2 linked regions of the Tribolium castaneum genome follow. The protein of the gene in region 2 binds, or shares a complex with, the protein of the main gene of each other region. Links are inferred from orthologs where the notes say so. Each region holds a gene or a part of one and is shown on either strand. Other genes may lie near its edges.

Region 1 (3,518 bases), about 6.9 Mb from region 2:
TGAATTGCAGCAAAAATATTATTTTTAACATGTGCTTTTTGAAGTTAATAACTTTTCTTGCCAAATTTCGATAAGTTGGGCAAAGATCACGACAATATTTTTGCCACCACGCAAGCGTTTTTCGATTAGAAACTCAAATTTTGACCCTCGTCATTCAAAAATACGCCGAAAAATTACCTAATTGAAAATAATTTTTGAGTTCGTTTGCGAAAAGAAACTGAGTGAACTGAAAAAGCACTAAAATTGGTCCAAAAAATATATTGCTCGCATTTAATCATGTTTTAGAGATAAAAATCACTAAGTTGGGTCAAAAATTATCTTAGTTTCTGTTTTCAGAGCATATAAGAACATTTTCTCAGTTAGACACGCAGTTTTATCATGAAATTTCGTCAACAACACACCAATAAATTTCTGAATTAGAGTTAATTTTTTACAAAATTTCGATATACCGGTCATTAATCAGATCCAAAAAAATATCTCTGTATCTTCTAACCATTTTAGCACGTATTATGTCAAATGTTTAGTCAAAACCAAGACGAACCAAATGTGAATAATAAAAAAATGTGTTATTTTTGCCTTTTAGCGGCAAACCTTCAATTGGAGCTTAATTTTTGTACTAAACTGAGCCGCTAGTTAATATATTTGGATAATAAAATAACCATTATTTGTCTTTTTTGAGGGTTTTAGGATGGTTTTTAACCAGGCACAAAATAGGATAAAATTTCGTCAAAAAATGTATCAAGAAATCCCCAAATTAGGACAAAAATGATGTTTTGTCCCAAGAAGCTTCTTTCGAGTGTTTTAATTTTAACACGTATTTTAGTCGTTACGGAAATATTTAAATGTAACTTGTTAAAAATATTGCGAGTGTTGAAATTGGAGTTATTTATGAATGTGTGTTAGATAAATACCCACCAGAATTCGTCGACCACTGCGAGGTTGAGGAAGCGTTTGCCCAAGTCAGACTTTGACCATTCCAAATGCTCCCCGAATTCGAAACTGGAGCTTCTTTTTCTTTGAGTTGCGCAGCCATTCTCGCCTCAGCTGTCAACTTTGCTAATCTCTCCTGTTCTTCGGCTTGAATCTCAGCAACAGACTTAACTTTCCTCGGTTCAATCGGTTTCTTAGCCCAATTCAACTGAAGACCACCGGTTTTTTCAATTTGTTGTTGCTGTTGCAACTCTTGAAGTTGTTGTTTTTGGAGTTGGAGAGCCGCTTCCATTGCACGTTTCTCTTTCTCTGCTTTCTGAATATCGGTCAAATTTAGATTTGATGTGAAGTTTGATTGGCACCATGGAGCCGTTTTGGAAGCACCTCTCGCCTGGCTCTGGTTCAATTTTGCCACTTCTGCCAGCTTTTTCTCTTCTTTTTCCTTCTCACGTCTGTTTTTCTCTTCTTCGATTTTTTTGAGCTCCTCGTTCTTTTTTCTCATTTCTTCTTCGACTTTCCTCTGTTCTTTAAGTCTTCGTTTCTCGTCTAGTTCCCGAAGTCGCTTCTCCTCTGCTTCTTTCTTCGCCTTTTCTAGTTCCTTTCTTATTTTTTCCTCCTCCTTTTTCTTCTTGTCTTCGGCGGCTTTGCGCTCCGCTTCCTGCTTCTTTTGCTCTTGTTTTCTGCGTTCGTCCGCTTCTTTCTTCGCTTGTTTCTCTTCCTGTTCTTTTCGTTTCTTTAATTCTTTCTGTGATAATTCCTCTTTCGGTTTTTTCTCTTGTTCTTTATCCTGGACTGGTTTTTCAACCCCTTCAGGTGTTTGCATATCCCACATTGATATGCTCGCATCAGTCTGTTGGGGCCACTGGTTTGGGGTACTCACCGGGGGCGCACCGAATTGGTTTTGTTTCTGCCAGAGTGAATCCAACTAAAATCGCAAAAATTAACAAAACATCGCAAAAATCGCCCAAAAAGACTCACAGGCAATTGTCGCTGTTGCTGGAACTGTTTCAGGAAATTTGTAATTGGATCGTTGTCTTGTCCTGGTGGTAATTGATCCATTGAGGGGCGATTTACGTTAATAGGACCGGGAAGACCAGTCGGTAAATTCCCATGCATTCCAGGTAATGTTGGAATTGGGGATGTTTGTAAATTTGGCAAAGTGTTACCCAAGCCGTCGGGAGGTAGAGACGATGTTAGATTTGAAGGAACTCCACTCCCTGGGAGGTGGTTGTGGAGACCAGGAGTTTGCATTCGGTTTTGCAGCGAATGCATGTTTCCCATCTGAACGAGAAGAGGATCGAGCTGATTAGGCACACTGCTGGGAGGTTTGTCCACCAGGACTGAACCTGGGAGCTTATTACTCTGAACAAAAAAATAAGCCATACTTCAGTCACCTTAATGTATTACTTCATTTAGGACCGGTTTATAGAAAGCTTTGTTAAAATTCCATTTGATCACGTGATCAGTTAATCACGCTTTTAATTGCGAATTAAATTAATGCGCTTTTATAAACCGGTCCTTAAAATTATTGCGTTTCGATTTCTTTCAAAGCATTTTAAAAAAAACTGAAACAATTTAAGTTGAGTCAAGGCATTTTTAGACGAGTTATTTATAGACATGTTATCCACTGTTTACGCATTGTGTAATGCATAAATTAGCAAAAAGGAGTTAAAATTGATCACAGCATGAAATGTTTTTATTTATTTTAAATATGAAACACGTTTTATGCTCAAAATTAATTTTTGCGCTAAGTCGAGTCAAAAAATCAACAAATCGGGTTGAAAATGAAATCAATTTGTATTTTTTTCTGGTGTTTTTTGATATTTATTAACACAAAATTTCGTCAAATATATAATAAAAAATCGCAGAATTTTAGTAGCAATTAAGCTAAAACTAACCCAAAAATCACCAAAATTGGTCGTAAACACCTTTTTAAAACGTACAAGCACTAACCGATTCGGAAAGTTACCAACTTGGGTTACTTCAATGTGTGTCTTTCGAGTGTTTGGAATGTTTTTTTGTCATGATACCACGAAATCTGTACGAAATAATTGTATTTTTACCTTTTTTTTGCAAGATTGAGATAGAAATAAAATCCCATTATTTTGTTCTCTTCCAGCACATTAGGTAGAATGAATAAAATGTAGTAAAAGCTTTTACTATTGTTTTATCTCTTTCTCACTCATAATAATAAAATATAAATTAGGTCTATCTTTTACTATTACAAGCAAAAGCATTTACATCACTTTATTCACACGGCCCATTAGCACGTTTTTCATCATAAACGTAATTATCTCAAAAAATTAGAACGAAAACAAGACAAATAATAATTACTAAATCAAAGATATAAATAATATGGTAGTTCAAATAATGTTATTTATGCCTGTATACAATGTAAAAGTTCGTTTTTCAAATAAAGCTCGATCAGTTTGCAAATTTTCGCAAAAACTGCAGGAAAAAGACAAAAATGTCCATATTTTCGACTTTTTCGAGGATGTAGATAGATACGGTTTTACGCTAAAACTGTTTGCTTACTAGTCCTAAACTGACAAATCACCAAGCGACATTGTAATTGAGCTTAATTTGCA
Region 2 (4,100 bases):
CTCGAAAATCATGGAATACTCTGTTGCGATGCGCTTGAGCCATCTTGGCGTGAATGTAGTAGCAGCAATAACCAAGTTCGGTGATTTTCTTCGCCAACAATTCGACACGTTGCGTGGAATTGCAGAATATTATGCTTTGGTTTATTTGTAACTAGAAAAAAACTGTCAGAAAAAATAAACCAAAATACCAAGAGCCCAACCTTTGAAAACAGAGTATTTAAACAGTGTACTTTCTGACGTTCTTGAACGAACGCATAGTATTGCGTGACACCTTTAAGAGTGAGCTCCTCCATGAGATTGATCTCGTACGGATCTCGGAGATGTTTTCGCATAAACTGCTCAACTGTGAGAGGAAACGTGGCGGAGAACAACAGTATTTGTCTCTCTTGCGGTAAGTTCTTTATCACAGTGTCGAGCATCCCCTTGAAGTCTTGTGAGAGAAGCTTGTCGGCTTCGTCTAAAACTAGAATCTTGCACTGGTCCATTACGGCGACACCCTTTTCCATCAGATCGAGGATGCGGCCAGGCGTTGCTATAATAACTTGTACTTTCTGGTAGATGCGCATTATGTCATCTCTTAAATTTGTTCCACCGGTCGTTACCATCACGCGCACGTCCAAGTGCTTAGCGAGCTCAATGCAAATTTGTGACGTTTGAAGCGCGAGCTCTCGTGTAGGCACTATGATCAGTGCTTGAATGCAGTCTTTCTTGGGATCGATCTGTTCCAACACGGGAATACTGTACGCACCGGTTTTACCTGAAGACCAAAGCATTCAATAATTGACAGCCAATTTTTAGATTATGTCTGTAAAAGTTTGGCCCTCTTCTTTGTCTTTTTTTATTATAAAAATATTGATTTGTAACTAATTTCCAGTTTTTGGTATATCTGATATGATATATGTATAATGATAAATGCAATAAACAGTATTACATCCAAAAAAGATAAGCAAACAAACACAAGTGAGCTAGAGAGGTAATGTATTTCGAGTACATAACGAATACAAGTAAACAAGGTCACCCAATTTACAATAGGCAGTGAACAAATAACGATGATTTTAACATTTCTGGTGTTTGTCTGTGTCTCGGTTCGAACTACCGCTTATGTAGTGAAAGAAAATATAAAAAAAAACACAAATTAATTTTTTACATCGCGTGTTTTTTAGAATAGGACAGTTTAATAATAACACGTATTTTTTGACATCACAAGTAAATTAGTAAATTAAGAAAGTACAATCAGAATTACAAAAAAGAGAACGTTTTATTATTGACTTGATTGTTAAAAAAATTTTGTACAAAAAAGCTCAATTCTGCGAACTAAATTACCAAATAAAGTAGCTTGACTGATTTATAGCGCCCACTTATTCGAGCTGGTATTTCATAAGCGCAAATTACTGTATGTGATTTTTTGCGTCATATTCAAAAATAAATATGACTATTAGCAAAAATCAAGCCATTAGTTTTGCATATTTGTCCCCCCATCCAATTATTGAGTAACAGAACAGGCTTACTAAATATGCACTAAACATTGAGTAAAAAACATACCTGTGCCATTTTTTGCCCTTGCAAGAATATCCTTGCCAGATAACGCAATTGGAATAGAAGCTTCTTGGATAGGAGACGGTTTCTCCCACCCTTTTTCAAAAATACCCATTAATAATTCTCTCTTCAAGCAGAATTCTTCAAATTCATTTCCCCTGGTATCAGTCACATCCTAGTAACAAATACTTGATAAAATAACGGTAACACCTTTTTTGCACGAATGGTGAAAGAAATGCATGAAATCAGGCAAGACGTTATCATTTATAAGAAAAATGAAGGGGAATCCATAGTGTCATCATGTTAATAATGGAAAGCTTTGAATATTATTCCCGGTTTAGACATGCAAGTGACCCAAAGCCTTCCAAGTGACCGTGAACGTACAAAGCAGTGAGTTTTAACTTACACTGGTCTGTATTCTCCTATCCTTGGGTGGAATCTTCAGTTTGGCTTTCCATCCCATGTCATCCATTTTGGTGTCAATATCACTGCAAGGAAGCGGTTCGTCACCGCACATTCTTAATGATAAGCAAACAACTTACACTTTGCCTGACAAAGCCATCACATGGTTCGAATTCAATGTGTCCGTCATCATAATTGTAGAAAATACTATTGCAAGTGTATTAAAAAATAGGGTTTATAAAACCCAAATCTTCTTCCTCTACAATGTGTAGGATAAGTACAGTTCCTAAGATCCCTCACAGGAACGATAATAATCTGCAAAATCCCAGTTTAAACATCAATGACGCAGAAAATTTAAGGTCAATACGGAATAGATATAACCACAAAAATAGAACATCCCGTAATTGTTGCAGTGTCAATAATAGCCAGGTCATGAACATTCACTGGCGATACGGAAATAAAACCCTCAAAAACGGCCAAAAGTTCGACGATTGCAACAAATAAACAGGATTCAGATTTCTAATTAAAATGGCTACTGATTCTTGTGTACAGTGCACCGTCGACTACACATAAATTATTGCACAACGACGCAAATTTACCTGATTCTGGACAAAGAATTTAAGGAATACCGTCGAGACACCCTGGGAAATACTCAGACATTGCTCATAATGTGTGATTTTTGCATCAAATCGCTCTTTTCGAATAACTTTTACCACTGATATGGACGCTTTACTCACCAAAAGGAAAATGACTTTCAGCAATTAACAATGGCCGCGAATCTGCAATGCCAGGATGCTCCGCTAACCAAAGGACAACCCGTGAGATGGCGCGAGAAACAATCGGAAAAAATCAAAGAATTTTTGAAATTTTTGGCCAAAAAATACAATTTTTTTATGGCAGTGATAACAAAGCGCCCCTGATAGGGTCCGTCTCCTTCAACCATAATAAAATTAAGTAACCACTCATGTAAAAAGCTCACAAAAAAGCGTTCAAATTGCGCGCACCACCTTGTTCTCTTCTCACCACCCACAGCACCACCTTGTTCTCTGGCACCACCCACAGAATAACAGGTTTTACAGAAACGCATCTGTCCTTGTCCCGATAGAGCGAAAGTGTCACTAGCACATCTATTGTTGCCAGCGCGTACTAAGCGTTATCGGCGGGCGATTTGAATTGCCCGTAGTTACTTTTCTTTTAAAGTTTGATTGCATTTTTCGTATTGTTTGTAAATATTCACAACAATAGTTGCTAATAACACTTTCTGATGTTAGACAACTATTGTTGCTGAATATTTACAAAGAATACGAAAAATAAAATATGAGAATAAATAAAGACAATAAACTTGTAATAAAAATTTATTATCACTAGTCAATATACACGATACGATAACTATAAACTAATGATTGATCCATCAAATTATTTATATTCCCACAATAAAAAAGTTCAAAAAAGCACACACACGAAAAAAACCACAAAACAGTACTAATTTCACATAAAACAAAGCCGAAGGCGAACACCAAACAAACCAAGCACAAAATGGCGATTTACACAATGGCAACTGTCACAGGTCCACTGTTAATTTCTGCCGATATTATAGGTAGCTTCGCTAAAATTGACTATACGTGTGTGCGACATCTGCGATAGCAAGCCGAACTACAGTCGATTTTGAATTTGGCGCCTATACTTGGCTTGGTGCATTTAGGTTTCACCACCCTGGCACCACCTTTTTCATCCATGATTTGACAGCTATTTAACCTACAATTTGTCGGTCATTTTAATAACAAATAAACAGAATTTTAGCAAAAAATTGAGATTTCGGTAATAACTGTATTGCCGCATTTTTGGAGAGTTACATTTTGCAATAATTTTCAGTATACGTCATGACTGCAAGCAAGGAGGTTTTTGTCGATTTAGAGGAAAAATTCAATAAGGTCCTTAAGTTACTCGAGGACAGTAAATACGACCCTGAAAATCAGCCTTTCGTGTCGAAATATGCGGCCAGCGAGACCCTAGTCAGCATGAAAGCGAGTCTAGAAAATGTGATAGAAACTCAGCCAGACAATGACAAGATAAAACTAACAGGTGGTGCCACATTGTTGTAAATTTGCCTGAAGGTGATAATTTTAGCAATGTTGGGAAGTGTGTACCTGTATCTTGGTATG

Evidence for each region. The genes of interacting proteins can lie anywhere in the genome.
Region 1: the proteins of me31B (region 2) and Gyf are in contact, whole or in part, in a crystal structure (PDB 6S8R), measured with the Drosophila melanogaster proteins. The link is inferred for Tribolium castaneum from reciprocal best matches to the Drosophila melanogaster genes me31B and Gyf. Residues at the interface, in NP_523533.2 of Drosophila melanogaster: Tyr274, Ala275, Phe276, Val277, Glu279, Arg280, Gln281, Lys282, Val283, His284, Cys285, Thr288, Leu289, Ser304, Thr305, Gln306, Arg307, Leu310, Leu311, Lys314, Glu317, Leu318, Phe370, Pro420, Ile421, Lys423; in NP_001162827.1 of Drosophila melanogaster: Glu344, Asn345, Pro347, Glu348, Trp349, Ala350, Ile351, Glu352, Pro354, Ser355, Lys356, Leu357, Gly358, Gly359, Ser360, Phe361, Asp362, Ala363, Ser364, Gly365, Ala366, Phe367, Gly369.

What each region holds. Positions count from the first base shown.
Region 1 is NC_087402.1:9,995,156-9,998,673, forward strand, and holds part of Gyf (GIGYF family protein Gyf), read right to left. Parts: intron 2,293-3,518; coding exon 1,909-2,292; intron 1,856-1,908; coding exon 916-1,855; intron 1-915.
Region 2 is NC_087402.1:3,103,512-3,107,611, reverse strand, and holds the start of me31B (ATP-dependent RNA helicase me31b), read right to left. Parts: upstream 2,811-4,100; 5' UTR 2,676-2,810; exon of another isoform or gene 2,538-2,675; intron 2,254-2,537; 5' UTR 2,132-2,253; coding exon 2,079-2,131; intron 2,025-2,078; coding exon 1,943-2,024; intron 1,712-1,942; coding exon 1,543-1,711; intron 758-1,542; coding exon 201-757; intron 152-200; coding exon 1-151. Other genes in the region: KIF-binding protein, read left to right, coding at 3,819-4,020, 4,066-4,100. UniProt on the Drosophila melanogaster protein: ATP-dependent RNA helicase which is a core component of a variety of ribonucleoprotein complexes (RNPs) that play critical roles in translational repression and mRNA decapping during embryogenesis, oogenesis, neurogenesis and neurotransmission.